Anolis sagrei: one gene and its partner. The protein of the gene in region 1 interacts with the protein of each later gene in a pairwise test. Links are inferred from orthologs where the notes say so. Each region holds a gene or a part of one and is shown in the gene's direction. Other genes may lie near its edges. The genes, in order: ACOT8 and PEX5.

What was found.
Region 2: the proteins of ACOT8 (region 1) and PEX5 interact in binary tests that used the Homo sapiens proteins (3 or more experiments, as listed by UniProt). The link is inferred for Anolis sagrei from reciprocal best matches to the Homo sapiens genes ACOT8 and PEX5.

What each region holds. Positions count from the first base shown.
Region 1 is NC_090024.1:248,873,636-248,889,872, forward strand, and holds the start of ACOT8 (acyl-coenzyme A thioesterase 8), read left to right. Parts: upstream 1-8,518; 5' UTR 8,519-8,533; coding exon 8,534-8,616; intron 8,617-10,502; coding exon 10,503-10,639; intron 10,640-10,740; coding exon 10,741-10,966; intron 10,967-13,697; coding exon 13,698-13,855; intron 13,856-15,257; coding exon 15,258-15,449; intron 15,450-16,237. Other genes in the region: ZSWIM3 (zinc finger SWIM domain-containing protein 3), read right to left, coding at 1,239-3,372, 5,577-5,731. UniProt on the Homo sapiens protein: Catalyzes the hydrolysis of acyl-CoAs into free fatty acids and coenzyme A (CoASH), regulating their respective intracellular levels. Displays no strong substrate specificity with respect to the carboxylic acid moiety of Acyl-CoAs.
Region 2 is NC_090022.1:198,467,997-198,484,233, forward strand, and holds the start of PEX5 (peroxisomal biogenesis factor 5), read left to right. Parts: upstream 1-5,915; 5' UTR 5,916-6,100; intron 6,101-6,674; 5' UTR 6,675-6,710; coding exon 6,711-6,860; intron 6,861-11,530; coding exon 11,531-11,566; intron 11,567-12,620; coding exon 12,621-12,753; intron 12,754-12,941; coding exon 12,942-13,076; intron 13,077-15,244; coding exon 15,245-15,350; intron 15,351-16,237.

The sequences.
Region 1 (16,237 bases):
TCTCAGAGTTCACTCATTTACAGGCTGGCCAGAAGTTGAAGTTCACTCCACAGTCATGAAAAACCACAGCAGCCACATTAACTCAGAATTCAAGGGGTTTATTGGAACCAGGCGCCACTCCGGCCTCGTTTGGAGTCCAGCTCAGCTCCGCAAGGGGTTTGGGGGTCAAAACTGCACCCCGGTGACCTTTTCCGCAGCCCCCTGAACTGGTTCCCTTCTTAAAGGGGGGGGGGAGCGCCCTTTTAAATTAACACGGCATAATTTATTCATAACGAATCCACAACCATTCCTTTGCCAAGATGGCGCGGGAAATGAACAGAACTAAAAAACGGCTTCAGCAGCAAAGCCGCAGAGTTAATAATAATAATAATACCAATAAAAAAACTTTTTTAACTCAAAGAGTGAGATCTGCATTTTCAACAACTAATTTGGTCTTGAGAACATAGCAGCAAAACCTGCCCCTCTGGCAGAGGCTTTGGGGAGAGCACCAAGGGGGCCCCGCCTCCCCTCAGACACCCCCACAAACACCTGGCCTCCACCTCAGGGGCTTCGGGGCTGAAACACAGACACAGGGTGCAGCGGACCTTCCCACACAACGCAAGAGAATATCAACAATCCCGGTGGGTTTCCTTAACCTGACCTAAGCTAAAATAACAATGTTGTGGAGAATGCAGAATAATACACCTGAATCAAGAATATCTGGCAACAAAAACCAACAAAGCAAGTTGTGCAGAGGACAAAAAACACAGAGGATACGACACCCCTTGGTATGAAGCGGCTTCCCTGATTGTCAAGCCTGCAGCCGGATGCTGGCCCCCCTCAAGGCCCTCGCTCCACTCTGGCCTGCCTTCGGGATACAGGAGGGGGTCTCTCAATGGCACTCAAGCAAGGCTGGCCTCACCTGCGTCCTGAGCAGAGGAACCCCGCTGCCCTTCGTCCCCCTGCACATCTCCCTAGAGCGGTTTCCTCCCGATGTTTTGAACTACAGCTCCCAGAATCCCTGATAATAGGTCAAAGCAGCCAAGACTTCTGGGAGTTGAAGTCTGAACACCTGGGGGCTAGAGTTTGGGGGTCAACGCCAACGGGGAAGGGGAGGCCCTTTCATGGCTGAGGTGTGGAAGAGCAACCCTGAGCTCCCTGGTCCAGGAAGGGCCGCAACGGGCTTGGAGAATGGCCCAAGCCAGGACCAGCCCCTCCGACCAGACGCTGGACTGACCGACTGGCCAAAGGGGCGTGTTTCAAGCCACCGGAGTCTGGCTGGTGTCCAGAGCGGCCCCGTGAGCGACCGAGGAGATTTGGGCTCCCTCCAGCTCTTCCTTCTTGACCCAGAGGAAGGGGAGGTCCCCCACGTTGCGGATGTGGAGGGGCTTCGCGGCCGCGGCCTCCTCTTCCCGCAGCTCGGAGCGCTTAGTCCAGATGCTGACGATCATGCGGAGGGTGGCGCTGCGCTCCTCCAGCTCCTGGCCCTCCTCGCTCTGCAGGAGCAGGTTGCCCAGCTCCGTGCTGAGGGACTGGATCATGTCCTGACGCTCCTTGGGTACTGGCGTGGCCACCGGCAAGCCACCTTGGGGCCACTCCAGGTGGTTCTGGCGCAGGGCGGGCAGGTGCTGGTACTTCCTCTGCCAGCGCTTGGCCACCATGCCCTCGTCCACCACCTGCTGGTTCGCCAGCAGCACCGCCAAGACGTGCCGGCAGGGCAGCTGGTAGCGGCAAGAGAAGTAACAGTTGCAGTTCCGGCCGCCCCCGCCGACCTGGTGGGTGTCCTCCAGCAGCTGGACCGCGGCCTTCCTCCTGGAGGAAGCCGTCACCAGCTGGGTGGACTTCTGCACCACGTCCCACTCGTTCAGGCACAGCTGGTAGGCCAGCTCCGTGCAGGTTTCCTTCAGGGCGGCCAGCATGGTGGCCACCGGCTTGGCCGGGCTGTGCCGGGCGCTCTGCTTGGGCGGCTCCTGTCCGGCCGCGGGTGGGGGGTGCTTTGGCGGCCGAGGCTTGCGCGGCAGGGGGGGCCGGGGCTGGCTCTTGAGCTCCTCCATGAGGATGCTGCGCCGCCCAGCGCCCGCCTTCTCCCCGTTGGAGGAGGGCTGGTTGAGGTGGTTCTCCAGGCCTTTGGTGTTGAAGTCGTTGGCGGACTCCACGAGGCGGAGGAGGCCGTCCTGCAGGGAGAGCTGGGGGCCGAAGAGGCTGGCCAGCTTCTGGGTGGTCAGCTCCAGGCTGTCGATGTAGGTGCTGCAGGCGTGCAGGCCCTTCTTGGCGTGGAAGTACCACAGCATCTCGCAGGAGAACCAGTGGGCCTGGAGGTGCTCAAAGAGGCCGGGGTCCACCAGGCCCTTGACCACGCGCGAGAGGGCCGCCAGGCTGGCCTCGGACGGGGAGAAGACGGCCTCGCGCAGGGCCGCACGCAGGGCGCTCTTGAAGGTCAGCGAGGCGCGGGACTTCTTCAGCTTGCGCTCCAGGAGCCGCACCGCGTGGTAGACGGAGAGCAGCACCTGCGCCGAGGGGAAGAGCTCCCGCAGGGCCTCCCGGTGGAGGAAGGCCACGTCCACCAGCACCGCCTTGACCCTCCTCCGGCCCCCCTCCGCCTCCCCCTCCCCCTCCGCGTTGAACTTCTTGAAGACGGAGAGCATCTCGCGCACGTTCTCGGGCGTGTCGTCCCTCAGGATGGCCAAGTGCACCAGCTTCCCCACCCGGTCCTTGCTCTCCACCAGGAAGGCGTACAGCGTGTGGCCCCCGCAGCCCACCACCCGGTGCAGCAGCAGGCTCTCGGGGAAACGCAGGAACAGGCCCTTCATCTTGCCCGTCTGGAAGCTCAGGCGCTCCAGCTCCTTGCTGCTGCCCAGGCGGAACGAGGCCAAAGAGCCCGCGTCCGTGCGCTGGAAGACCCGCATCACCTCATCGATGTGCACCAGGGGGGAGCTGCTGGCGCTGCTGCCACCGTATTCGCCCGCCTGAGGGGCCCCTGGCTCCTCAGAAGGAGAAAGGGAAGCAGGCGGGCACTTCTCGGCATCGGTTCTCGTGTTCTCGCTCACGTCGCTGTCGGCTTCGACCTTCACCTTCACTTCTGCAGGCTCCTCTTTGCGCAGCTTGGCCGGAGGGGCGCCGTAGGCTCTGGAGGCGGCCATTCTGGCAGCCAGCCTGGCCAAAGGGGAACGGTCAGAGCTGAACGAAGGGGCCTTGGGCTCCGCATGGATGTGGTTGGAGTTCAGCTCCGTGATCACTAGTCGGTCCAGCTCCTCGCTGTATTGCAGGACCAAGTAGGCCGGGCACAACTGGGGCTCCTCCTCCTCCTCTTGCTGCTGTTGTTGTTGTTTCTTCTTCCTCTTCTTCTTGGCCTGCTCTCGCGACTGAATGCAGCCAAACTTCACCCGCATGAACCTGGGGATCAGAGAAGAGGAGGAGCTGTAAGGGAGGGGTAGTGAGGTCTCACAATCTCTGAGGGTGCTTGCTTGCCACAGATGCAGACGAAACGTCAGGAGAGAATGCCTCTAGAATATGGCCACATGTTGGGCTTCATCCCTGACTGCACAAGTCTCCAGCTCTCAATGAGTAGCTAGCCTAGATAAGACTGAGGGATTCCTCCCCAATTTCCTGTAGCTAGGTTGTTTAAGAAGGGGTTAAAAGGGGGGATTGTCTTACTGATCTTTGCATGGCACTATCTCCTCCCCCTTTGAATACCTAGGAATGTAATCCTATAGGGAAACGTAACTTCCTCTTTTAAAGGTGTTTTTATTGCCCTGGCAAAAGCCATGTGGCCTGTCTCCATTTTCTGGCCCCTTCTCCCTTTGTCTTCTCTAGAGTGAGGAAGCATCCTTGCCATTGTCCAGGCAAAGATGTGTCACTTTTTCACCCATGTTCCAGCATTATTTTCAATTTTAATTTTACATTTGGCCTTCCCATAGTTTTTAATCATGTGGTCTTATTGTTAATGTTGCATTATTGTATTGTCCATGTTTTATTTTAATTGCTTGTATTGTTGTATTTGGGCTTGGCCTCATATAAGCCGCACCGAGTCCCTTGGGGAGATGGTAGCGGGGTACAAGTGTTGTTATTATTATTATAAAGATGCAGTAGATATAGTTACTTTTATTATTTTTCCTTTTCCTTAAAAGATAGCTCAGTGAAGCTAGTGAGCTCCAAGAACCTTTCCTATCTAGAATGGATTTTTTTATCTTTAATAAACATATTGTTTTTGATCCTATGAGTTGTGGATCTGCAATCCTGTTCCATCTTGTTGAATGGAAGCCAATCCTTGCTCACTACATGTAAGCTTCTGCTGCTTCTGAACTGTGCATCCTGCACTCTGCTATACTTTGGTGGAATCACCCCCAGAGAGGGTCATTTTTGAGCCTCACAACTCTTGATTCCCAACACCATATAGCCCCAAAAAAACAACCAAGTGATTCCGGCCATGAACGCCTTCGACAATACAAGTTAGACACTATTAAATCTTGTGTTTTATTTGAAAGTAAACTCTTACTAAAGAGAGCTGTACATAGCAACATAGTTTATGAAGAAACTGTTCAAGATGATAAAGTCAAGATACAAACTCTCTGAAACATTATGGAAGTTTCTAACCCTTCACAAGAAATGTGCCTGTATCTTGAAGTCCATGAAGTTATCAGTAAACAAAACCTGTGATCTTTTTAAAAAGTCTGCTTGCATCGCTGTCGGCGCAAAGCATCAGACAGAAATGAAATATCTACACACCTAGCAATCCTTCATTACTAAATAACCTTTGCTACACTGATTAAGTTGTGATCCTAACAGTTCACAATGGGCAGTGATCCTACCAGGTCAGGATCTATTATCCCTAATATTTAATACTGATGATGTTTAATTCTGATTTAATCTTTGTATATTTTATGTTGTATTGAATTGCTTTTAGAGTAAGACACTTTGAGTCCCCGAATGAAGAGAAAAAGCAAGATATAAATAATAATAATAATAATAATAATATTTAAAAATCTTTATTTATACCCCGCTACCATCTCCCCAAGGGACTCGGTGCGAGTTAAATGAGGCCGAGCCCACAATACATCAGTAAAAACAATAACAGTAATACAAATCAATACATAACTCATAAAAATAAGCAGTAAACATTAACAATAACACGACAACATTTAAAAACCTATGGCTGGCTAAATGTAATAATTAAAAATTTTAAAATAATGCTGAGCATGACCAGGTGGGATACAAATTTTTCGGAGAGGGATGGGGCATGTAAACAATCCTAGATCACTAATAAAGTGCATTTAGGGACATATTGCTGGGAATTTCCTTATTCTGGGAAGGCACACCATGATAATTTCTCTGATCGTACAGCATTGAGCCACGGCAGTTAAAAGGGTGCCAAACTGCATTTAATTTGGCTGCACCTACAGCAGGCAGGGGCCAACTTTGACCCTCCTCCAGGTGTTTTGGACTTCAACTCCCACAATTCCTAACAGCCGGTAGGCTGTTAGGAATTGTGGGAGTTGAAGTCCAAAACACCTGGAGGAGGGTCAAAGTTGAGGCTGCGCTTGGAGGGCATGGGCGTGACTGTCTCCCGTGAGCCCCTTGCCCACTCGCCCCCTTCTTACGTGATATCCTCCCGAATGTGGGTCCCGTTCTGTCGGTTGTGGAAGCGGACGGAGACGCAGCTCTTGAGGCCAAACTGGAGCCGGCTCTCCTTCTTGTAGGCGGCAAAGTGCTCAGAGAAGTCCGTGTAGTTCTTGAAGCAGGAGCCCAGCTCCATGGCGGATCCCGGCCCTGGGGAACGAGGACACATCGCAGTCACCCAACAGAATTTCCCAGAAGACTTCACAGCTCTGTTACCTCACCACTAGCTACTTTCAGTGGGATCATGAATTCTATGAACAGAAAGATGGATTAGCCATGGGGAGCCCTCTCAGCCTGGTCAGAGCAAATTTCTACACGGAACACTTTGAAGAACAAGCTCTAGAAACAGCAACAAAAAGCCCATCACATGGTTCAGATACGTAGATGACGCCTTGACCATTTGGAGCCATGGAGGAGAAGAACTTGTCTACTGTACTGGGGGCTTCTTTATCAGGACCTGCTAATCACTTCCCAACAAATGATTCCCCCCCCCCCCCGCCCCAACCAAGTAGGAAGCAGCCAGGCTTTGAAGTTGCAAAGCCATTCAATGCTAATCGACATTTGCAATGTCCACACTTGCCTGGATCAGGCAAGAGTTCTTTCTTTCTTTCTTTCTCCCTCCCTCCCACCCACCTGGGACATGATTCCACAGATAGATAATAATAATAACCCCATCTCCTACGTTCCCAACAGACCTCACAACCTCTGAGGACTCACAGCCACATGCGTAATATATATATATATGCATGCTCAGTGCATAATGAGTTCCTTAAAAACAAAAGAACCAATGAATGAAATCACACCAAATTTGGCAACAAAACGTCTCACAACACAAGGAGTGACCAACACTCAAAAAATTATGATTTTGTCATTTGGGAGTTGTAGTTGCTGGGATTTATAGTTCCCCTACAATCAAAGAGCACTCTGAACTCCACCAATGATGGAATTGGGCCAAACTTAGCACACAGAACTCCCATGACCAACAGAAAAAACTGGAAAGGTTTGGTGGGCATTGACCTTGAGTTTGGGAATTATAGTTCACCCACATCCAGAGAGCACTGTTGACTCAAACAATGATGGTTCTGGACCACACCCAAATATGTGCACAGATGGCGTTTGGGGGAAATAGACCTCGACATTTGGAAGTTGTAGGCACTGGGATTCACAGTTCACATACAATCAATGAGCATTCTGAATCCCACAAACGACAGAATAGGGGCAAATAATTTAAGGGTTGTTAAATGTATTGTCGAAAGCTTTCATGGCTGGAATCACTAGGTTCTTGTAGGTTTTTTCGGGCTATAGGGCCATGTTCTAGAGGCATTTCTCCTGACGAAATGCAGGTGAAACATCAGGAGAAATGCCTCTAGAACAAGGCCCTATAGCCTGAAAAAACCTACAAGAACCTAATTTAAGGGTTGTATGGCCATGTTCCAGGACCCCCGTGACCAACAGAAAACACTTAAGGCCATCCAATCCAACTCCCTTCATCAGGGCAAGGAAACGTAATTAAAGTCCTCCCGACAAAGAGCCACCCAGGCATCGATATAGATAGATAGATATGATTCTGGAATATTGTGTCCAGTTCTGGGCACCACAATTGAAGGGAGATATTGACTCTAAGCTGGAATGTGTCCAGAGGAAGAGGGCGACTAAAATGATAAAAGGTCTGGAGAACAAGCCCTATGAGGAGCGGCTTAGGGAACTGGGCATGTTTAGCTTGAAGAAGAGAAGGCTGAGAGGAGATATGATCAGGGCCATGTATAAATATGTGAGAGGAAGCCACAGGGAGGAGGAGGAGGGAGCAAGCTTGTTTTCTGCTTCCCTGGAGACTAGGACGCAATGGAACAATGGCTTCAAACTCCAAGAGAGGAGATTCCATCTGAACATGAGGAAGAACTTCCTGACTGTGAGAGCCGTTCAGCAGTGGAACTCTCTGCCCCGGAGGGAGTGTGGTGGAGGCTCCTTCTATTGAGGTTTTGAAGCAGAGGCTGGGTGGCCATCTGTCAGGGGTGATTTGAATGCAATATTCCTGCTTCTTGGCAGAATGGGGCTGGACTGGATGAGGGCCCAGGAGGTCTCTTCCCACTCTTGGATTCTAGGATTCACACACAGAGAGAGATATAGTATCCTAGATTTGAAAGGGACCCTTAAAGAAGGACTATGATGTGTTGCTTGTTCCAGGGTGGGCAAACCAGACACTCTCCACATCAACAGTGACAAAGAAACAGCAAGAAATACTGTTTACCCTCAAGCAGAAAGACATGACATAGATTAGAAACCAACACTTTCTCATTACTTTATTTTCCAGATCACCAGACTGGGCCACAGCAACGCATGGCAGGGGGCGGCTAGTTATTATTATATTTACACACACACACACACACACCCTTTCTTCTCTTCAGAGGAGACTCAAAGCGCCTTCCTTCCTTCCTTCCATTAGCAGCCCATTCCGCCCCCCGGTGCCTTTTGGGGAAACAAGCGTGCCTCTGGGCATGTGGGGAGCGCGGCCTGCTGGCCTGCCTGGCCCCCTCCCTCCCTTCCTTCCTTCCTTCTGAGATTTCCCCAGGAAGCCCCTCCTCCCCCCTTTCCTGCCCCACCGGAGACCCCTTGGGAGGCCAATTAGCACGCGCCCTAATTACCCGGCGAGGCCCCTCCGAGGAGGAAGGAGAGAAGGAGAGCCACCGCCACCCCTCGGACTGCCCTTGCGGATTCTCTCCCTGCGCATGCGCGTGGCAGGCACAGGCGGGCTCTCTCTCTCTCTCTTTATAAGCCCCGCCCTCCGAAGGAGAGCCCACCAATCGGGAGCTCCGGCGGCAAGCGGGCGGGCGGCTCCGCCAATGGCGAAGCAGGAACTCTTCTGCCCCGCGTTTCCTTAAGGAAACGCGGAAAACCGACCGGAAGTGAGTGTCCCGAACGGGACCCGTTTCCGTCCAAGATGGCGGCCGCCGGGAAGGACCTGCGAAGCGTGCTGGTGACCAGCGTCCTCAACCTGGAGCAGCTGGACCTCGACCTCTTCCGGTCAGTCAGGAGGGTGGGCGGGCGGGTCGGTGGGCTGCGGCCCGGAAGGAGGAGGAGAAGGCCCTGCACTGCAACAGGCCCGGCTCTTTCAGCCGCTCCTCATGGGGCTTGTTCTCCACACCCTTAACAACAATAATAATAAGGAGGAATAATAATAATAATAATAATAGGTAAAGGTAGTCCCCTGACATTAAGTCCAGTCATGTCTGACTCTGGGACTCTGGTGCTCATCTCCATTTCCAAGCCAAAGAGACGGCGTTGTCCGTAGACACCTCCAAGGCCATGTGGCCACTGGCAGGACTGCATGGAGCTCCGTTACCTTCCCGCCAGAGTGGTACCTATTGATCTACTCACATTTGCATGTTTTCGAACTGCTAGGTTGGCGGAAGCTAGGGCTGACAGCGGAATAATAATAATAATAATAATAATGTATTGTCGAAGGCTTTCATGGCCGGAATCACTGGGTTGTTGTAGGTTTGTTCGGGGCTCTATGGCCATATTCTAGAGGCATTCTCTCCTGACGTTTCGCCTGCATCTATGGCAAGCATCCTCAGGAAAGCAGTGGAACTCTCTGCCTCAGAGTGTGGTGGAAAATCCTTCCTTGAAAGGTTTTAAACAGAGGCTGGGTGGCCATCTGCCAGGGGTGCTTGGATTGTGCTTTCCTGCATGGCAAGGAGTTGGACTTGGAGTCAAACTCAATTATTCTATGATCCCAGATTGGAAATAACATGGAAACTGAGCAATTTAACAGGACCGATTCAACTTAACTTAAGGATATGTCTAGTAATGTAATATAGGAATTTGGATTGGATAATAATTCAGATCACATTACAGGTCGTACGTCATAGGAGCCGTCAGTCAAAAGCACAATTTATGTATTTATTTATTTATTTGCAGCTTTTTTTATATTCCACCCTTCTCCTCACCCCGCAGGGGACTCAGGGCGGATTACAGCGTACACATATATGGCAAACATTCAATACCCATTTTAACATACAAACATATACAGACATAGACAGAGGCTATTTAACTTTTTCTGGCCGCCGAGGGAGCTGTCGCTTTCATCATCCATCTGCGACACTGATGAAGCACTTCCGCATTCCCCGCATGCTTTTGCTGGAGTGCTTTGCTGGTGTCTTTTTATGGCCTCGTAAATTTTGTTAAATTAGCCTCCCCACACATAGGTGGTACCTACATTTCCTACTTGATAGATGCAACTGTCTTTCGGGTTGCAAAGGTCGACAAGAAGCTACACACAATTGGTTGGAAACCCACTCCAACCCGGGCTGGCTTCGAACTCATGACCTTTTGGTCAGAAGGGATCTTAAAGCAGATGACATTCAGCCCGCTGCGCCACAATCCCGATGAGACATCCATGTCTTTAATTCCTTGCGGAATGTGGCTAGGGAGGGTGCTAGCCTAATCTCTCTAGGGAGGGAGTTCCAGAGGTGGGGGGCCACCACCGAGAAGGCCCTCTCTCTCTCTCGTCCTCACCACCTGCGCCTGAGAGGGGGGTGGGAGCAAGAGAAGAGCATCCCTGGACCGCGCGGGCTCATAAGGGAGAAGGCGGTCGCGCAGATAGGCAGGTCCTGAACCAATTGCACCCTTCTGGCAGCCGGCCTTGCCTCTCTCTTCCTTTTCCTTCCTCTAAAAACAAGGACAAAGAGGCTGAGAGATATCTTTTATCCTAGAGCTGTGACTATATTGCACTCTGTGGTTTCACCCTGATGTGGCATGAGGGGTTGTGCAATAGTGACTAGAATATGGACGGATGGGTGCCTTGTTTTGTAATTCTATGTATCTAATGTGTATTGGGGATTGCGTGTAATTTTCTCGTACGAGGTACACGGACAATAACGTTATTCTTTCTCGTTGTCTTCTCCCAGCGGGAGGCACTACTGGGTGCCGGTCACCAAGCGTCTCTTTGGCGGCCAGATCGTGGGCCAGGCCCTGGTGGCCGCCGCAAAGGCCGTGAGCGATGACGTCCACGTCCATTCCTTGCACTGCTACTTCGTCAGAGCAGGTCAGTACGGAGCCCTTTGGGGGGGGGGGGGGGAGGCACACAACCCATCAAGGCTGGCTGTCGGCTGAGCCCTGCTGTGCCCCCCCCCCCCCCCCCCGCAGGGGACCCCACGGTACCCGTCCTCTACCAGGTGGAGCGCACTCGGACGGGGAGGAGCTTCTCGGTCCGGTCGGTCAAGGCCATCCAGCACGGGATGCCCATCCTCACCTGCCAGGCCTCCTTCCAGGCGGCGCAGCCCAGCCCCATCCAGCACCAGTTCCACATGCCGGACGTGCCGCTCCCGGAGGAACTCCTGACCCAGGAGGAGCTCATCCACAAGTACCTCCAGTGAGTGCCTTCCCTCTCCCTCGGCTCGGCCACGGGCAGAGAGACAACCCATGGGGAAAAGGGGCAAAGAGAGAGAGAGAGGGGGGGCTGCCTGCCTCCTCCCTTTCTTTGGCCACTTCTGCCTGGCTCACTGACCCTCCGTTGCTTGAGCCTGCAGAGCTGCTTCTTATACATACGCTATATATACACTTCGTGTCCAACCTCTCTTTGAGACTGCACCTCTTTCTATGAACCAAATCTACTGGGGAGGCCCTTCTCTGGGTCCCACCTCTGTCTCAAGTGCGGTTGATGGCAACGAGGGAGAGAGAGGGCCTTCCTTCTTGTTGGTGGCCCCCTGACGTTGGAATGCCCACCCCAGGGAGATCAGGCCAGCCCCCACCCTCCAAGCTTCCATACACAACTGAAGACATGGTTTTTTTCATCAAGCCTTTGGCCATATTTAGATTCCTTTAATGAATATACGTGAGGTCCTATAGATTTTCTATCAAGCACTTTACAAGACTAGATAGATTCCTGTTGGGTTGTTGTAGGGTTTTTCGGGCTATATGGCCATGTTCTAGAGGCATTCTCTCCTGACATTTCGCCTGCATCTACGGCAAGCATCCTCAGAGGTGGTGAGGTGGTTTTTTTTACTGAAGGTTACTGTTGTTTTTACCAGCAGCTGGTGCTGCACTTTTAACCAGGGGGCATTCTGAAGTGGTGATGATTTATGTGGGTTGTTTATTGTTTTATGTTACACTTTTTGTATTTTGTGCGTTGGCACCTTTCATAGAATCATAGAATCATAGAATCATAGAATCAAAGAGTTGGAAGAGACCTCATGGGCCATCCAGTCCAACCCCCTGCCAAGAAGCAGGAATATTGCATTCAAATCACCCCTGACAGATGGCCATCCAGCCCCTATTTAAAAGCTTCCAAAAAAGGAGCCTCCACCACACTCCGGGGCAGAGAGTTCCACTGCTGAACGGCTCTCACAGTCAGGAAGTTCTTCCTCATGTTCAGATGGAATCTCCTCTCTTGTAGTTTGAGTGCTTTCTGAGCCATCCCAAGTCCCTTTGGGACATGGTGCAGGGTACAAATAATAATAATTATTATTTAAATTGCTATTATTATTATTATTATTATTATTATTATTATTATTATTATTATTATTAAAAATGCATCTGTTTCTGCTTCAAGGCAGCAGAAATCTCTCCTAGGCTAAGTGAACGTCCCATTCTGAATTGTGCTGGGGCTCCGCTGTATTTCCAGCAGTAAGCAAGGCCTGTTCCCAGCTCCCCTTCTGGGCCATTTTTATTTATTTAGATCCATATACACACACACACACACACACACACACACACACACACACACTAGATTAGATTAGATTAGATTATAAGCACAGTGCAGGAGACAAGTTCTCCTCCTCCATGGCTCCAAATGGTGAAGGCATCATCTACGTATCTGAACCATGTGGTGGGCTTTTTTGTTGCTGTTTCTAGAGCTTGTTCTTCAAAGTGTTCCATGTAGACTCTGCTGGCTTCCACAGGTTTCCACAGCCACCGCCTCTCCCCCTTGGCTTTGGCTGTGTAGCAATAGGGAGCCATCTCCCTCCAGAGAGGACATGGCACGTTATTGCTAAATTGAGGAACGGGAAGGCCTGGTGTCTGCAGCTGCGCAGACTGGGACACAACGGAGCGATGCATTCATATTGCAGGGAAGGGGATTCCACCTAAACATTGGGAAGAACTTCCAGAGCTGGAATAGGCTGCTTCTGTGGACCGGGGGGGGGGGGGGGGGGGGCTTCTCTGGAGGTTTTAAGCAGAGGTTGGAAGGCCGTCACTTGGGAGGACACTTCCCTTTGACAGAAAAACATTGAAATGCACAGATAGAGGTTATGGGAGGGCTGGCTCCACCACAGAGTTACCTGTGAAGAAGACTTTGAGTCAAGTGTCCCGTGAGGCAAGGGGATTTGGGGCAGGGGTATCCAGAGGAGCCTAGAGCCTAGATCAAGGGGAGTCCTGGTGCCTCTCCCTTCTGCTTTGGTCAGACCTCTTCACCTAGAACATGGTGTCCAGTTCTGGGCAACACCATTTAAGAGGTCTTCACAAGCTGGAAGGTGTCCCGAGGAAGAGGGCCACTCAAAGGATCACAAGTCCATGAATAATCCCTCTGAGGAGGAGCGGCTTAAAGATCTGGGGATGTTTAGACTGCAGAAGAGAAGGCTGAGAGGAGGCATGAGGGCGGCCATGTTTCTTCTGCCCGGGAAATAGGACTCAGTGGCGCCATGGGTTCAAATGACAGGGAAGGGGATTCCACTTAAACGTTAGGAAAGATTTCCTTCCCACAGCAATGGAATTCTCTGCCCTGGAGTCCAGTGGAGCCTCCCTTTCAGCAGAGGCTGGATGGCCACCTGTTTGGGGATGCTTTATTGTGCTGTTCCTGCATGGCAGAGGGTTGGACTAGATGGCCCTTGTGGCTTCTTCCAACTCTCTGATTCTGTGAGGGCTTGGCTTCTATGAGGGCCTGCCGGATAAAATGGGATTAGATTGTTCTGCTGGGTTGGGGGGGGGGGTGCCTCTGCTATGGTTCTATGACCTCCAAGGCAGCAGTGGGGGATGATGGGAATTGGTGTCCAACACGCCCTGGAGAACCAGGCATGCCCACACTGCATTAGTACCCACTATAGTGTGGGCGTAGCTCCCCTGTTTCCCTCCCCAGCGTCCTGGTTCCTCTCTCTGCCTCTCCAAAGGGACCCCAACCTCCTGGAGCGCTACCGGCAGGGCCTGACCAAGATGCTGGCCCAGGAGGTTCCCATTGAGATGAAGCCCGTGAACCCGCCCGACGTCTTCCGCCGGAGCCAGCAGGAGCCCAAGCAGCTCGTCTGGGTGCGTGCTCGGGGACACATCGGTAAGCGCCGGGGCCGCTCTTAATAATAATAATAATAATCTTTATTTAATACCCCGCCAGCATCTCTCTCCCCAATGGGGGGGACTTGGGCCGGCTTACATGAGGCCAAGCCCAACAGCATATTACAATAAGGTAAAACCAAAACACAATAGCAACACAATACAACATAGGAGTACAAAGACGATAAAGCAAAACCATACACAGTAATGATGTGCAGCTTGTGGCATCTTTGTTACCTCACAACATTGGAAAGACCTTCCATTCCTGCTCTAAGAGTGTTGTTGCCTTTTTCATTGCGCGGCAATTACTTTGAAAGGGGTTATTCTCCTCCAGAACCTTTGCTTTTGTGGCCACCACAAACTAAGTTGAATGGGCTGAGAATGGATGATGGGATAGTCACTGAAAAACAATTGCAAAATCTGCTCTAGCTGGACGATGCCCCTCCTGCAGAGACAGTTCCTGCAATGTAATAAAAACCTTTCCCGTGTTTTCATGATAGAACCAATTCGGAAACTATATTTATCACCCAGGAACAAACATCGTGTTACATAGTGTTGTTGTTGTTGTTGTTGTTAGTAGCAGTAGTAGTGCAGGCTTCTAACCGGAGGACAGAACTCCTCTGTTGCGTCAGCTCCACTGGCTGCCACTTTGCTACCGAGCCCAATTTAAAGTGCTGGTCTTGGCCTATAAAGCCCTCAACGGTCCAGGTCCAACTTATCTGTCCGAACACCTCTCCTCCTATGAGCCTTCTAGAATGTTAAGATCGCCTGGGGAGACCCTGCTCTCGGCACACCCTCTTTGCAAGCGCAACTGGTGGTTACAAGAGACGGCCTTCCTTCCTTCCTTCTCAGTGGTGGCTCCCCAGTTGTGGAACACCCCCCCCCCCCTTTTCTGGTCTTTAGAAAACAGCTCAGGAGCTAGCTCTGCGCCCAAGCATTGGAAGAATAGGTCACTCTGGGTTTCGACATGGTGTGAATAAGGATTACAAGCAAGGATCTGGGATGAATTGCTTTACACACTTGATATGTTTTATTTTGCATATGATTTTATGTGTTTTGTTGATTAATTGTGAATTATTTTAACGGTGGGGATATGTTTATTGTTACTGTTGGTTTTGCCAGCATTGAATTTTTGCCGAAGCTGTAAGCGGCCTTGAGACCCCCGAGGAGTGAGAAGCACAGGGTGTCAAGGAAGCCGACATAAATCAATGAGAATGCCTCCCTGGGGCATGTCTGGGGGAAGGCAGAGGGTGCCGGGCTGCCCTTCCTTCCTTCCTTCCTTCCTTCCTTCCTTCCTTCCTTCCTTCCTTCCTTCCCTCCCTCCCTCCCTCCCTCCCTCCCTCCCTCCCTCCCTCCCTCCTCTCTTTGAGCAGAGCCCTCATCAGCCTGCGTTTGCCTTCCAGGCGAGTGTGACATGAAGCTGCACTGCTGCGTGGCCGCCTACATCTCGGACTACGCACTCCTGGCCACGGCCCTCCTGCCCCACCGGCACCACCAGGTGGGCTTCATGGCCTCCCTGGACCACTCCCTCTGGTTCCACGCCCCCTTCCGGGCCGACCACTGGATGCTCTACGAGTGCGAGAGCCCCTGGGCCGGTGAGTGACAGCCGGGTGACCCCAACTGGCAAAACAGTGGTTCTCAACGGGGGAGGGGGGGTCCCTCTCTCGTTGTGTTTTGGCCTCCCACTCCCAGAAATCCAAGCAGCTGGTAAACTGGCTGGGAACTCTGGGAGTTGTAGTCAAAACACCTGGGGACCCACAGGTGAGAAATGTATGGGGCCACCCCGAGGCAATAAAAATACACAGGTATAGGATGGGGAGGCCCCTGCCTTAGAAATGGTCCATGCGAGAGGGACCGAGGATGGATGTGAGCCTAGAGTGGGATGTCACAGCCAAAAAGGCCAGGATAGTGTCCAGGTGGAGGAAAGCAACATAGCCATGGCTTGCCAATAGTAAGATATAGGACTGAATGTTGTGTGTCCAGGAATTGAGTAAAGAGTGTGATGCAGCAGCGGAAAAGGCCAATGCAATTCCAGTCTGCATCCATAGCAGGATAGTGTCCAGGTGGAGGAAAGCAACATCCCCATAGCTTGTCAATAGTAAGATATAGGATTGTAAATAATAAGATAAGCCAAGAGTGTGATGCAGCAGCGGAAAAGGCCAATGCGATTCTCTAGCCTGCATCCACAGGAGGATAGTGTCCAGACAGAAAGCAATAAAGCCAATGCTTGACAATAGTTAAGATGTATAGGACTGAACATGAGCCAAGAGTGTGATGCAGCAGCAGAAAAGGCCAATGCGATTCCAGTCTGCATCCATAGCAGGATAGTGTTCAGATGGAGGAAAGCAACATAGCCATGGCTTAGTCAATAGTAAGATATAGG
Region 2 (16,237 bases), on another chromosome or scaffold:
GTTTGAGTGTGGGACTAAGGCTGTAGAAGCAGGATTCAATTTCTTGTTCAACCATGGAAATCATGGCCCCTCCTACACTGCCATATAATACAAAACAGGCTAATCCACATTATCTGCTTTGAACTGGATTATATGAGTCTACACTGCTATATATAATCCAGTTCAAAGCAGATAATCTGGGTTTTATATGGCATTTTAGATGGGGCTATAGTCTTGGGGAAAAGGCTTATAAGGTCTTGGTTGGTGGATCCTATCTGACCTCTAGTGGTGGCAAAAGACCAAAGCACTTTCACTGCGAGTGCGCAAGTGTGAACAGACAAATCTTTCACCCATTCCAAAGTGGTCCTTAAAACAACACTCCAGCTACTTTGATTGTGGATGGCACGGTGCCTACGTGGGACACAATTGCATACATACAGGATTCAAAATAAATTACAATAAAAATATTAACTACAAACAAAGAGAACCAATTAGCTCTAAAAAGAATGTCCAATTTATCAATGTGTCTTTCAGGCTATAGATATTTAGGAATAGTGTGAACAAATGACATAGCACACTGAAATATATTGTTATATTTTTAAAAGCTAAAAGACTGGTCAATCATTATTAGGCAGACTAGCTGTTGTCAAAGCTCACATTTTACTGTCATTTCTATTTCAAACTGCCCTTATGTTCATTCCACACAGCCCTATATCTCAGAATATCAAGACAGAAAATCTCACAATGTCTGCTTTGGACTGGGTTATCTGAGTCCACACCCTGATAATGTGGGATTTTTTTCCTTGACATTCTGGGATATAGGGCTGTGTGGAAAGGCCCTCAGAGGGGCATTACTGCTTTTCTTCTTGTCTGAAGACAAAAATGAGAAACTATCAAAGACCTTATAATATTTCTGGTATGTACATGGATGGAAATAGTAAAAGCATGGAGGGGGGGGGAGTTAGAGAATTTATCAATACAGAATTGGATACACAACTAAAGTTTCCAGGGTCAGATGAACTACATCCAAGGGTATTAAAAGAAGTAGTAGAAATAATTTTAGAAACAATAGCAATCATCTTTAAGAATTCTCGGAGAATAGGAGAGGTTTCAGCATATATTGTTCCTATCTCCAAAGAGGGGATAAAAGAGGACCCAAACAATTACTACCCAATCAGCCTGACATCAATGACAGGAAAGATTATGGAGCAGATAATTAAATAGACAATCTGCAAACATATAGGAAGCAATACCATATTCAGAAAAAGTCAGCATTGGGTTTCTCAAAAACAACTGATGCCAGATAGAGTTACAAGCTTGGTAGATGAAATGAATGCTGTAGATGTAGATTGATTTCAGCAAGTCCTTGGACAATGCTACAGAAGTGAATTGGGAATGGGTTAACTGGCAGAACCCAAAGGTGCTTACAAATGGCTCCTCTTCAGCCTGGAAAGAAGTGGCCAGTGGAGGTGCCACAGAAGTTTGTCCTGCGCCCAGTGCTAAAAAAGCAGAGCACGATTTTGCGGGCCCTGCCTGAGCAGAAGCCGGTGAAAAGCTAAAAGGAGGGTCAGCTATGCCTGGAGAGACAATAAGCACCAATAAAAGTTTCCGTATTTCCCAATAAATCTCACCAGGATGAAGCAAAGCCACTGAAGTTTATTTTCTATTCCAGCTGGAAAGGATGATGACTGCAGTATCATGCAAAGGAGCAGACATGACTCCTGAGCAGGGAATTACAGAATATAAACAGTTTTCCCAATTCAAATTTCCCACGCCCGCCCCTGAGCCAGCTTCGCTGTGATTGGTTGTTATGTCAGTGAGCCAGGAGGAGCGGCCAGCGACCGATGTGGCTCATCCAATCAGAGCCCAAGCCCCACTTCAGTCCATTCATAAAAAAGGAGGTTCATTCATAAAAAAAGGAACCCAATTCATAAAAATGATCAGATTGGCCTGATGCTAGCCTGGGTTTTAGGGGTGACACATGAGGAATTTCCGGGGTCTGCAAGCACCATCAGGCACCACTCGAGGCGACACACAAAAGAAAAATGGTACTGCTGTCATGCAGAACCATGGGACCATGAAAAGGTCCTAGGTTTCCACATGGGAATTTTGGATGAGAAAGATGGATCTGAGGGGTGTAGGGGTCCATTCAGCAGAAATTGAGATAGTAGTTAGACTTATAATTAATCAAGAAAGATGATAATGCTGGTCTGGGGCCGATCAGTTAAGTCACGGATACCGAAACCGGGGTGGGTCCCCGTATCCACGGTATAAAGGATCACCCCCCGGGACGCTGCTGGAGCGTCCCAGGCAAGCCAGCAGGGCTGCACGGCTCGGGAGAGGGAAAATTTATGGTTTAAGGCAGAGTTAGAGTAAGTAAAGGACACAATGTCTCAGGCAGGTAGCAGAAAGTTACTAAAAGGATACTTCTTTATTGGGGAATTGTTACAAAGAGGCCAAGGAAAAGGGAGGAAAAGGAGAATCTCTTGTTGTAGCTGTTGCTAGTGCCTCTGTCCTGCAGATACTTGGAAAACTCATACTCCCAGGAACTGTGGAACCCCCTGCTGTGGTCAGATTAATTTGAAGGCAGGGGTTTCTGTGTTAGATGACACTTTTCAACATCTTTATCAATGGCTTGGATGATGAGTCAACAGCGTGATGCAGCAGCTAAAACAGCCAATGTGAGTCTAGGTTGCATCAATAGGCACATTCCTAATAGCCTGGTCAAGATTGAGAGAAGTCAGAGTCCCACTCTATTCTGCTTTGGTCAAACTTCACCTGGAATGACCTACACCAGGCATGGGCAAACTTCAACTCCCACCATTCCTAGCAGTCTCAGGCCACTTCCTTTCCTACAGCAGGCGTGGGCAAGCTTCGGCCCTCCAGGTGATTTGGACTTCAATCAACTCCCACAATTCCTAATAGCCTGGTCTAGATTGAGAGAAGTCAGAGTCCCTCTCTATTCTGCTTTGGTCAAACTTCACCTGGAATAACCTGGGTCCACCGCAATATGATTTTATGATTGTCTCTGGCAGAGTGATAAAAACTCCAGGTAAAGGTGCTTAGTGCCCAGAATCAGGAGTTTTTCACCCTCAGGGCCCAGTCCACTCATGCACTGTAATTTCTTTGTACTGGAGCATGAAAGAGGCCTTGTTGTGCCAGTAAAACACGTGAACATGGAGAATGCAAGTGCATGGGAACAAGTCTTGACCTGCTGCACAGCACCTATGTGTGGGTGCTTGGCCCACCTGTCCTGGCATGCAGTGGAAAGGTATGGGGTGCCTTGGTGTGATATGGGAAGTCCTTGCCTGCTGGGTGCATGCATTAGCATCTCCTTATTTTTATCTGTGAAATGTTGTTGGGGAAAAGCTCATTACGTTGATGTGCCTGCTGTGGGGTTTGTTTGTTTGTTTGTTTTGCTCAGTTACAAGAACTTGCACCCACTGGTATCTTGTTGTATTTCTGGCTGGATTTGGTCTTTTCTCACTATCATATAATTCAGTTTGTGAATCCAGATTATTTTATTTGAACTGGATTATCTGGCAGCAGGCCCTTTCAGACAGACCCTATATGCCAGGATCTGATCCCAGGTTTTCTGTTTATCCTAGATTACCTGGCAGTGGGGGACTCATATAAACAGATCCTGGGATACAGGGCCTGTCTAGAAGGGCCCTGAGGATGGATCTATACTACCATATAATCCAGATTCTGAATCCGGATTATCTGTTTTGAACTGGATTATCTGGCAGTGTAGGCTCATATAATCCAGTTCAAAGTAGATAATCCAGATTCAGAAACTGGATTATGTGGCACTGTAGATGGGGCCTGACTTCAAAGGGAAGTAGCAGCCAATAATGAAAGGACCAAGGCAGTGACATCTCCGTCCCATCCTCTGTTCAGATATCAGCCAGCACGCCAATACCTTAAATCAATAAACAGCTTTCTAAGATCTACAGAGCTACTTGCAGAAAAACCTCACTAGGCGAAAGTCCAAAAGTGGCAGGCTAAAACCCGGAACCTCAATCCATGGCTGATACCGGATGAGAAACTTCCTCCTTTTCACACAGAAGACTGGGCGACTTGGAAGGTGCTGAACAGACTGCACTCTGAATCTGGATTATCTGTTTGAACCGGATTATCAGGCAGCATAGGCTTGTTGTTGTTAATTAATCTTTTATTAAAGGATAAAATAGGGGTACATTAAGGGGTTATTTCTCAACTTATTTAAAATGCACAATGAGTCAATAAGAATGAAGAACCACCACCACCAGTAAATTGTGAATTGTGGGAAAAGGGGGGGGGGGCGTAAAGAAAGTAGAGAAGAGAAAAAAGAAAGAAAGAAAAAAGAAAAGGTGAAAAATCTGAGAAAATAGAGGACTGTGCACAGTAATCTTCAATTTCCTCTGATGTAGTCCATTCAGGATATCTTGATATTCATATCTATTTCCCTCTGTCTCTCCTCATCGTATCTTCATTATATCTAACTTAATTTTAAAGAAGTTCTTAATTGCTGTCCAATCCGTCTTTCTTATCGTGGGTTTCAGGTTTTTCTTGAGTGCATTTGTTAGACTACCCATATTCATTATGTCGAGGATTTTTATTGTCCACTCTTCTAGTGTTGGGATCTTTTCGCTCTTCCATTTTTGGGCATTACTATTATATCATCATCATCATTATTATTATTACTATATTACTGACACAAAACACAGCATGTGACAGCAAATGAGATCTATATGCTGGATTTCTTATCATAAAAGCAAAAGGCGAACACTTCCCAAGCGTCTAGGACTGTGTGATGTATTTTCAAATGATGCGTGCAGATCCAAATAAGGTGGCCTTTTGCAGTTGACAGATCGTGATTTTGTCAATGTTTATTGTTTTCAAATGTCGGCTGAGATCTTTTGGCACGGCACCCAGTGTGCCAATGATCACTGGGACCACCTGTACTGGTTTATGCCAGAGCCTTTGAAGTTCGATTTTGAGGTCCTGATAACGGCTGAGTTTTTTCCTCTTGTTTTTCCTCAATGCGACTGTCACCCATTATGGCGACACCAATAATCTAAACTTTTTTATTTTCTATAATCATGATATCTGGAGCATTGTATTCCAAAACTTTGTCAACCCCACAGTATTTTGCATGTTCATTTTCCACTACCTTTGCAGGTTTATAATCCCACCGGTTCTTTACTACTGGCAGGTGGTACTTGTGACATTGCCAATCCATACTTTCTTTTTTAACACGAGTGTGAGTTCAGGAGTATTGCTCTCCAAAACTCTGTCAGTCTGAATTCGGAGTCCCAGAGGAGTTTGATGTGTTCATTCTCTGTAACTTTTTCCGGCTTATGATCCCACCAGTTCTTTGTCGCAGGCAGATGGTATTTGTGGCACAGGTTCCAATGAATCATCTGAGCAACGGTGTTATGCCTCTGCTTGTAGTCTATCTGCGCGATCTTCTTGCAGCAGCTGAGGACTTCCTTGCAGAGTCTACATTTGGGATCTGTTGTCGACTTTTCAATTCTGGCTTTGTTGGCATTGGTTCGAATGCCTCTAGAACATGGCCATATAGCCCGAAAAAACCCACAAGAACTGAGTGATTCCGGCCATGAAAGCCTTCGACAATACATTGGTTCGAATGGCTTGTTCTTGGGCTGCCAAAATCAGTCCCTCTGTCTCCTTTTTCCAAGTTCTATTTGTGAGCCATATCCATGTTTTTTCTTTGTCAATTTGGTTCTCAGTTTTTCCCAGGAACTGTCCATGGAGAGCCTGGGCCCGCTTCATGGTTCATGGTTCATCCCTCTCCTTCCAGGAGGCCTGGCTCTTTAAGGGCTGGCCCCGCCCCTTGCCTCTTTTGGCGAGTCTAGCCAGGTAGGCCTCACGGGGGCGGGGACAGAGAGCGAGAAGGAGGCGGGGCTTGCGCCTCGAGGGAGGGGCGGGCCCCCCGTGAGCCAGAAGGAGGGGCCTCGCGCAGTGGTCGCCAGTCCGGGCTTCGCGGCGGCTGGAGCAGAAGCAGAAGCAGGAGGGGCCGAGGCCTTGCAAGCTTGGCGAGTGGCTGTCTCCCCGGCGGTGCAGAAGAGAAGCTCCCGAGCCCGGAGATCAGGGCAAGGCAGAGGCTTGGAGAGAGGTATGGAGGGAGGCTGGGGAAGGCCCAATCCGCGGCCTGGCTTGCGCCTCTCGAGGGACCACTCCCTCCAGCGCGAGCCCCAGCCCCCTGGAGGAGCTGCATGCTTGGCAGAAGGGACTCAGTGCTTCCCAACCTGTGGGCCGCAGGGACCTATTGGACTTCATTTCCCACAATTCCTGGTCGTGGGCCGAGCTGGCAAGGGCTTCTGGGAGTTGAAGTCCCAAATACCTGGAGCGCCAAAGGTTGGGAATCTAGACCAGGCATGGGGAAGGTTGGACCCACTGAGTGTTTTGGACTTCAACTCCCACCATTCCTAGCAGCCTCAGGCCCCTTCCTTTCCCCCCTCAGCTGCTTAAGCGGCTGAGGAGGGAAAGGAAGGGGCCTGAGGCTGCTAGGAATGGTGGGAGTTGAAGTCCAAAACATTCAGTGGGTCCAACTTTTCCCATGCCTAGTCTAGATGGATATAGAGAGAGCTCAGCTTCCCACTGGGCCCCTCAAGGGAAACCCAGCCAAGCAGGTCACATGATCTGGCTGAGCAGACCCCGCAGTGCAGTTATGCCCCTTCCTCCAACAGGTGAGGAGGGTCTCCCTTTCTCCCCCGTCACTTGCCATGGCCATGAGGGAGCTGGTGGAGCCCGAGTGCGGGGGCTCCAACCCCCTGATGAAGCTGGCCAGCCACTTCACCCAGGACAAGGGCCTGCAGCAGGAAGGACTACGGGGCACCCTGCCATGGCCTTCTGGGCCACCCACAGCCGAGGTGGTAAGTAGAAGGAAGCTGTGGGGTTGTGAGAGGGTGTGGGGAGAGTGGTGTGGCTCAGACCATCCCAAGATTGAGGCTAATTAATAATAATAATAATAATAAGTAGTAGTCAAGGTGATCCCAGTGGTGATCGGCACACTGGGTGCAGTGCCTAAAGACCTTGGCCTGCACTTAAACACAATCAGCACTGACAAAATTACCATCTGTCAGCTGCAAAATGCCACCCTACTCGGATCTGTAGGCATTATTTGCCGATGCATCACATAGTCCTAGACACTTGGGAAGTGTCCAACATGTGATCCAATATAACAACCAGCATAATGATCTTGTTTGCTGTGTATTAATCTTGTTGTGTGTATTAATCTTGTTGTTGCCTTTGACTGTGTGGATCATAATAAATTGTGGCAAGTTCTTAGTGGGATGGGCATACCAAGCCACCTTGTCTCTCTCCTGAGGAATCTGTACAAGGACCAAGAAGCAACAGTAAGAACTGACCACGGAACAACAGACTGGTTCAAGATTGGGAAAGGCGTACGGCAAGGCTGCATCCTCTCACCCAACCTTTTTAACTTGTATGCAGAACACATCATGCGATGTGCGGGGCTTGATGAATGCAAAGCTGGGGTGAAAATTGCTGGAAGAAACATTAACAACCTCAGATATGCAGATGACACCACTCTGATGGCCGAAAGCGAGGAGGAGCTGAGGAGCCTTCTAATCAAGGTGAAAGAAGAAAGCGCAAAAGCTGGGTTGCAGCTAAACGTCAAAAAAACCAAGATTATGGCAACAAGAATGATTGACAACTGGAAAATAGAGGGAGAAACCGTGGAGGCCGTGACAGACTTTGTATTTCTAGGTGCAAAGATTACTGCAGATGCAGACTGTGGCCAGGAAATCAGAAGACGCTTACTTCTTGGGAGGAGAGCAATGTCCAGTCTCGATAAAATAGTAAAGAGTAGAGACATCAGACTGGCAACAAAGATCCGCCTAGTCAAAGCCATGGTATTCCCTGTAGTCACCTACGGATGTGAGAGCTGGACCTTAGGGAAGGCTGAGCGAAGGAAGATCGATGCTTTTGAGCTGTGGTGCTGGAGGAAAGTGCTGAGAGTGCCTTGGACTGCGAGAAGATCCAACCAGTCCATCCTCCAGGAAATAAAGCCCGACTGCTCACTGGAGGGAAAGATACTAGAGACAAAGTTGAAGTACTTTGGCCACATCATGAGGAGACAGGAAAGCCTAGAAAAGACAATTATGCTGGGGAAAGTGGAAGGCAAAAGGAAGAGGGGCCGACCAAGGGCAAGATGGATGGATGGCATCCTTGAAGTGACTGGACTGACCTTGAAGGAGCTGGGGGTGGTGACGACCGACAGGGAGCTCTGGCGTGGGCTGGTCCATGAGGTCACGAAGAGTCGGAGACGACTGAACGAATGAACAACAACAACAAATCTTGTTGTGTTTCAAATAATAATAATCATCATCATCATCTTTATTTATACCCTGCCACCATCTCCCCAAAGGGGACTCGGAGTGGCTTACATGAGGCCAGGCCCAGTGATACATTACAGCAACATAAAATATAAACAACAAAATAACATCACAATAAAATAAATAAACCAATAAAGTAAAATAAACAGTACAAAGTAACATAATGGAAAATAAAACACAGTGGGTGGGCCAAAGGTACAACATAAAATGATAGTACACTGGATGAGAATGATGATGATGATGAACATGGAAAAATACTGTGGGACTTTTGAATCCAGACTGACTAAGTTTTGGAACACAATACACCAGACATCACAATTGTGGAAAAGAAAAAAGTTTGGATTATTGATGTCGCCATACCAGGTGACAGCCGAATTCATGAAAAACAACTGGAAAAACCCAGCCGTTATCAGGACCTCAAAATCGAACTGAAAGGCTTTGGTATAAACCAGTACAGGTGGTCCCAGTGGTAATTGGCATACTGAGTGCCATGCCAAAAGATCTCAGCTGGCATTTAGAAATATAAACATTCACAAAATCATCTTACTTGGATCGGCGCGCATCATTCAAAAATACATCACACAGTCCTAGATGCTTGGGAAGTGTTCGACTTGTGGTTTTGTGATATGAAATCTAGCATATAGATCTCATTTGCTATGACGTACTGTGTTTTTGGGTCAGTAAAATAATAATAATAATAATAATAATAATAATAATAATATTTCTCACCTGCCTCTTCTCATGGCTGGAGGTGGGTTACAAAACAATTGTTTGTTTTAGTATGTATTTCATAGAGATACGTTTTGTATGTAACTTTTATGGAGGTACGTTTTAGTGTGTATATTTGTAGTGTTTTTGTTGTGTTTATGTATTTTAATTGTTTTTTAACCTGCCACGAGGAGAGGCAGGTAATAAATGAAATAATCATAATTAGTTATTATTACATGGTTCTTAAAATTCCATTGATTTATTCTCTGCCTCTCTGAGGCCACCACATTCTCCAGATAAATGGAAAATGGATAGTCGACTTTTGATTTCAGGAGCTGGTCTGCTGATAGTAAGAGATTAATCATAGGTGATCACTTTCGGCCGAGTATGAATGTCTTCTCACTATATAACATGATTTTTGTTCCTGGGTTATAAATGTCATTTCCTAATTGGTTCTATCATAAACATATGGGGGGAAAAACTTAGTAAACTGCAAAAACTTTGCTCTTGTGGGACATTCTGCTATATCACATTTTGCTATTGTTTTCCAATGAATATCTCAACCAATTCAACATAGTTTGTGGCAGCCACCAAAACAAAGTGTATAAGAGTATAACAACTACTTTCAACATTAAGTACCATACAATTAAACAGGAAATAACACTTTCAAACCAGGAACAGCAAAATTTTCAAATTATGTTACATAGTGTGATAATTTACTTTAATTATACCCTGCCTTTCTCCCCGAGGGAACTCAAGGAGGCTAACAGTCATACATTTTGATCCATTTGAAACAAAGCAAATACATTTTTTTTAAAAAAAACCCAGTATTTTTCGTGTTAAATTCAAAATACAGTTAAAATACAACAAAATGTTTGGTTTTTTAAATATCACATCCCCCAGAAATCCAACCCACAACCTTCCCAGCAACATGCCCCTTCTAGAGGTAGAGTCTTGGCCGTGGATCAGTGAAGACCTATTCTGGATCTGCATGGTATTTCACATAGATTTCTAGATAGCAGGTGGTCCCAACATGGGTTTGCTTGACATGCCTTCCTCTTGTCATGTTTCACCCTTTCACTCTCTCTTTGTACCTCTTCAAAATCCATAGAACTGTTGGTAAGAGCTGACCTCCAGTTGCAATGCTTGAGAACCCCGGCTTTTTAGTTCTCTGTATTTATACCACATTTTTAAAGGTTAGCTTTAAGCCCGTTTTTAAATCTCTCTTGTCTGCAAACATTGGTGAGAGACCAAGCCACAAAGGGCTTAATTTACTTCTGGAAGGAAATGAACAGGAGTCTATTTTAACATCCCACTCTAACTTGCCCCATGCATTGTCCAAAATTGGCTGAAAATCACAAGTGTCTCTGAAGTAGCTCCCTAAGCAAGCCCATCACTTTGGAGGTGGAATGGAAATGGGGGAGTGTCCTCCAGATGCACTGTACTTTGGAAATAAAGTTTAGATGGGCAGTGGAGTGTATCTGTCTGATGGGATCCTCACTAATGTTGGAATCCAAGCCCACCCTGTCCAAATCTCAAGTCCTCAACAAGGATCAGTTAGTTTAGGATAGGCTAAGGGAATTCCCTTCACCCAAGTCTCCTATATGACAGTTGGGGGTGTATCTTTTTCATCTCCTCTCTTTCTACTCTCATTCTGATTGGTTATTTATGAATACTTGTCTACTGCAAGCCTTTTTTTAATTTTCTGCCTTCTTACACTTTAGTATGGAGAATATAATATGTATTGTGTGCTTTGAGATCTCTCTCTGCTTGTGTGTCAGGAGAGATGTAATGATTGAGTTTTTTCCCCTTTTTCCCCTTAGGAGAGATGGGTGTTAGAGTAGCTCAGATTCAGTTCTTCACCATGAAGAAATGTAGTTAGTTCTTTATTATTGTAAATGACTTTTATTGTAAATGATTTGTGATTTTTTAAAAGATCGGATTCTGCGTGTTTGCTTCGTAAGCTCTGAAATCTTTGCGGCCACATCACATGGCACTGCATGTTCTGCTCGCCTTTGGGCTGATTGCTCAACTATTGGTATCCAGTTTGATTTTTGGATGCTCTGCTTTATTTTAGGGTAGCTTTCCCTAACAACTAGACCCAAAAGTCGTTGTTGGTGTTCTGCCAAATATACATTAATGTCCTGATAGCTTTGCCACTATTTTCTGAGGAAATGAGCCTGAGAAGGCCTACCTGAGTTGTTCATTTAAGGGCATTAAATTCTTCTCAGGAAGATTTAAGAACCAGTTATATGGGAATCCTAATGGTTTTGCAAGAGTCTTTCTAAACACAGAGATCACTGAGATTGCAACAGTTTTTGTTACAAGTAAGTTTGTTGAGCTCTACCTGGGATGATGTGCAAATATTGTCTCATCTGTTGTAGGAAAAGAGGGGTCCTGTAAAATTTGGAATGTGCCACCTCTCAAATGTTTCTTTTTTTATGAGTTCTCGGATAACATTCCCTTTTCTTCTGTAGATATCTAAACCTCTTGGAAGAGCCTCAGAAGACGAAGTAAGAACTTCAATGATTTTTTTCTCTTTCCTTCTCGTTCTGTTGTGTGCTCTGTGTTTTTTAGAGGGGTGGCTTTGTTAGCTATTGCTGTAAAAACAAAGACTTGTGAGTTTATATTGACTACAGTTTGCTTAATCCTCACAAGATTAGACAGTCATTCTCCCATTGTGGTAGGGGCTAGGGCCACAAGATCATAGCAAATGTGGGAAAGCCCAAATAGCCCCTCCCCTGTTCTTTCTGGGACACGAGGGGCCCAAACCATGCTGCTCTGCCCTGCTCCCTCCCCCAGCCTGCTAACTGGGCCACAGTAGTTGCCACAGCTCCACGGCCTCTTTGCAGCGTGGCTGCCATCTCAACCTCACAGGCCTCAGCCAGTAGATTCTAGGAGGAAAAGCAAGCCCTATGCATTGACATTGCTACCAGTCCACAGCCTACTGCTTCCAGGGGAAAACAAAACCAAATAAGAGAGCCAGAAGCATTTTTTCCTGTTTTTCCTGGAATGAAGCAGGTGGCCATACAAAACATACCAATAAATCCTCTAAGCCAAAACCCTTGTTTCTCTCCCCCCTTCCCCCCCAGCAAGACTTGAAAAACAAATGGGAGAGAGGCTTGGCTTAGAGGATTTATTGCTGTATTTTGCAGTGCCACCTGCTTCATCCCAGCAAAACAGGGGAAATTGCTACTGGCCCCTTTTCTTGTTTTTCTGCCCCCGTCATGGCCCAGTTAGCAGGTGAGGGGTGTGTGTGTATGAGGGAGGCAGGCTCCAGCTCTACTGCTGCCCTACATTTTTAATAAGAACATATGAGCCTCATTACATGTTCACGGACTACCTCACTCTTACCAGACTTGCAGTCCATATGTAGGGCGGCAGCAGAGGTGGCACCAAATAACCCATAAATAAGCAAAGTGACAAAAAGTGAAATCCGCAAAAGTGGAGGGCCAACTATACCATAACAAATGAATTAGTCTTGGAGTTGCCAACACCCTTAAACTATTCTGCAGTATTTACATACACTCTATTTGTACCCCCCTCCCCCCGAATGCTTTTTGGTAGCTGGTGGCAGAGTTCCTTCAAGAGCAAAATGGCCCCCTGCTGTCTCGTGCACCACAAACATTCAAGATGGATGATCTGTTGGCTGAGATGCAAGAAATCGAGCAATCCAGTTTTCGGCAAGCCCCACAGAGAGGTAAATATTACACAGGGGATGAGAGCATGTGATGATGGCATCCATTCCTGTCCAGAGGAAGGATTTCTCTGGGAATTGGAAGGAAAGTTAGTGAATTTAGGAAACAGCGTAAGGTGGGGAATCTTGTGTACTGGTACTACTCTTGCTAAAGTTTGAACACCCATGTTAACTTGTTCTCTGTCCCTCAGCTCCAGGGGTTGCAGCCCTGGCTCTCTCTGAAAACTGGTCACAAGAGTTCCTTAATGCTGCCGACAGTGTGGTTGATGTTTCTACGGATTATAACGAAGCTGACTGGTCCCAGGAGTTCATTGCTGAAGTTGCAGGTGAGGCAAGATTTTGAGGGCCAGCAGTATCTCATGAAGGATTTTATTTACCTGTCTGGCAGAATGGGCTTGGATAGGATGGCCCACATGGTCTCTTCGAACTCTATGATTCTATGACTTAGCTCCATTTTCCAGCCAGTCTTATGAGGGGCATTCTTTAAAGATTTCCCCTGACCCACTTCTATTTATCACAGGATGTGGAAACTGCACATGTGTAATGATATAAGTCTCTATGGGTTACATGCCAATTTACAACTCAGAACTGATAACAGTCTTGTTTTTACAAGTGCTGGAGTGGTGTGAGGTTTGATAATGGACTCAGTGAAATATAGAGCAGTCATCAAGTTCCTTTACTTGAAAGGCCACACACCAAAGCAGACCTTCGATGAGATGAAAGAGGTTTATGGTGATGATTCCCCATCATATGATGTAGTCAAGAACTGGCATTGTCAGCTCAAATGTGGCCGCACTTTGGTGCAAACAGTTCCAATTCCAGGGCGACTCCACTCTGCTACTGATGAACACACCATCCAGCAAGTGGAGGTCGGCATTTTGGAAAATAGCCTCGTAACCATTCGCCACCTTGCCCAAAATGTCAATATTAGTGTGGGGTCCATGGAAAACATCATCCAATATCATCTTCACATGCATAAGGTTTCTGCTCACTGGGTTCCCTGGCTGCTCACACCTTTTCAGAGGCAGGAATGAGTTGAAAGCTCTTGGGCTCTATTGATGATGTGCCATGGAAACCAGGAGGATTTTTTCAACAGATTGATCACACAGGGTGAAAGCTGGATCCATCACTATGATCCTGATACTAAAGGCCAGTTGATGCAATGGGAATATCATAACTCACTCCCTCCAAAGAAGGCACATGCCCTACTCTGTACAGACAAGATTATGCTCACAGTATTTTGGGACCAGCACGGAGTAGTATCAATGGATTTCCAAGCAAAGTGTACCATGATCACTGGGGCATACTATGCTTCACTGCTGCGGAAATTGTGGGAGGTCATCAGAACCAAGAGATGTGGCATGCTCACCAAAGGTGCCCGCCTTCTTCAAAACAATGCACCAGTTCACAACTCACCTGTTGCCCAGATGTAAGCATGCTCCTGTGGCTTTGAAATTCTACCTCATCCCCCTTATTCACCCAACCTCTTTCCAACAACGAAGCTATTTTTGAAAGGCAAGCATTTTTCAGATAATGAGACTCTGATTTCTGATTTGGAGCAACCTGTCAACTTCTACAAGCGAGGTGTTTACAGTTACTTAAAAAGATGGGAGAAGTGTGTGTTCCTAGGTGGCACCTATGTAGAGAAGGACTCATAACTGTGTCAAGTTTCATTGCTCTCAGTCCACAGGAAGTGGGTCAGGGGAAATTTTTAATGACCCCCCCCCCTTGTAACATGGCATATTTTGTCTGTGGCTTCCTGTTACTCAACATAGAGAACATGCAGTTTGAGTGACCTTTTCTTTTTTCTTCAGTAATGACAATGAACAAGCAATGTGTCACCTGTTTGTTATGACATTCTTTTAGACAGGTAAAATTGTAATTAGGACCTTCCCCCCACCATAATTTTTCTCTGTGTTTATGAAGTCTGGCTATTCCAATTCCTTCAGTGAATCTCTGTTGCTATTCCCTCACTCCTTCCAAATCCAAATTGCAGTAATCTTGCTTTCACCAAATCCAAAAGATTTATTGTTGTTTGCTAGGTGTCATTGGCTCTGGGACAAATAAAACTGAGCCCCACTGATTTGTGTCTATGACTGACATGAGTTAGATCAGAGTAACTTCTTATGAAAGCTAGGCAAAAGTGTGTGTGTGTATATATATGTGTGTGTGTGTGTGAGAGAGAGAGAGAAATGTTGTACTAATATCCTATTGTTGTTTTGAATGTGAAAGCCTAAACTCTTTTGGCATGCTGGAGATGGCATGTAATCCTCAGCTTCTCTCGTTAAGAAAATCCTAGATAACAGAGCTATGGAAGGGAGTTACCTATGGGTTTGGTGAGTTTGTTGTAATGCCAGTGGGCTGTCTAAGTATAAAAAAAGACGCCTTTGGTTATTCTGAGTTGCAGAGAGTACATCTCAGGAGAGAGTTCGTCCTTCCTGTTAGGAGGAAAATACACATTCAAAAACCTCTTTTCCCTCCCACTTCTTCAAAGATCCTTTGTCTGTGTCTCCTGCTAAGTGGGCAGAAGAATACTTGGAGCAGTCAGAGGAGAAGTTGTGGCTGGGTGAATCAGAAGATCAAACACAAGCTGATAAATGGTGAGTACTTAGTAGTTTCTTTCCATAGTTATCTGTGTGTGAGCTTGAATTTGACAAAATCTCATTCTAATCCCAAGTCGCACTTTCAAAATTGCATTTCCATCTCATTGGCTCATCCTTCTGAGCCTAAGAATTCAAATATACAAGGAATAGATATGCCATAAATGGGCTTGACTTCTAATCACATCTGTAAAAGTATAGCATTTACCAGCTGTTAGGAATTGTGGGAGCCAAAGTCCAAAACATCTGGAGGAGCACAGTTTGAGAACCACTTCTTTAGAACATTTGTTTCCTAGATCCCGGACAATAAATATATTCTGTTGGTGGAGGTTGGCCGCACGAGAAACACATACAGACAAACCCTGCTAATTTATTGTTGGAGGTTAGCATTCACTGTGGGTTCTTGTATTCCGCAGTTTGTAATCCATGGCTTCAAAAATTGCAGTGACGCCCTTTTGTACATTAGTCTAGAGATTAGTTACTAAATACTATTCTGTCTGAAGATCCTTTCAAGTGTGGATTAATGATTTGTATTAAATAGACTGTCAGACAAATCCACAGCAGACAACCGTATCCCTGCAGATTGAGTGAAATGAACATAGCAAAGCACAAAGTTATTCTTTAAGGAATAACATCCCTTTCTGCTTGGATGCCACGTACCTGTTCTCATTCAGAGGTGCTCCTTTGCTTGTGTAGATGTGTATATCTTTATTCTTCCATGTCTCTTTATCATGGTAGTCTGCAAAGGCTTTATGGGACTTTCTAATCAAAGTGCACTGTGAAATTTTTGGTATGGGTGACTGGGGCATGGTTGCTCCTTCTCTGGCTTAATGCATATGAAAGTGGTTTCAGATTTGTTCTAAAACATGTTTGGTATTTGGTGTCTT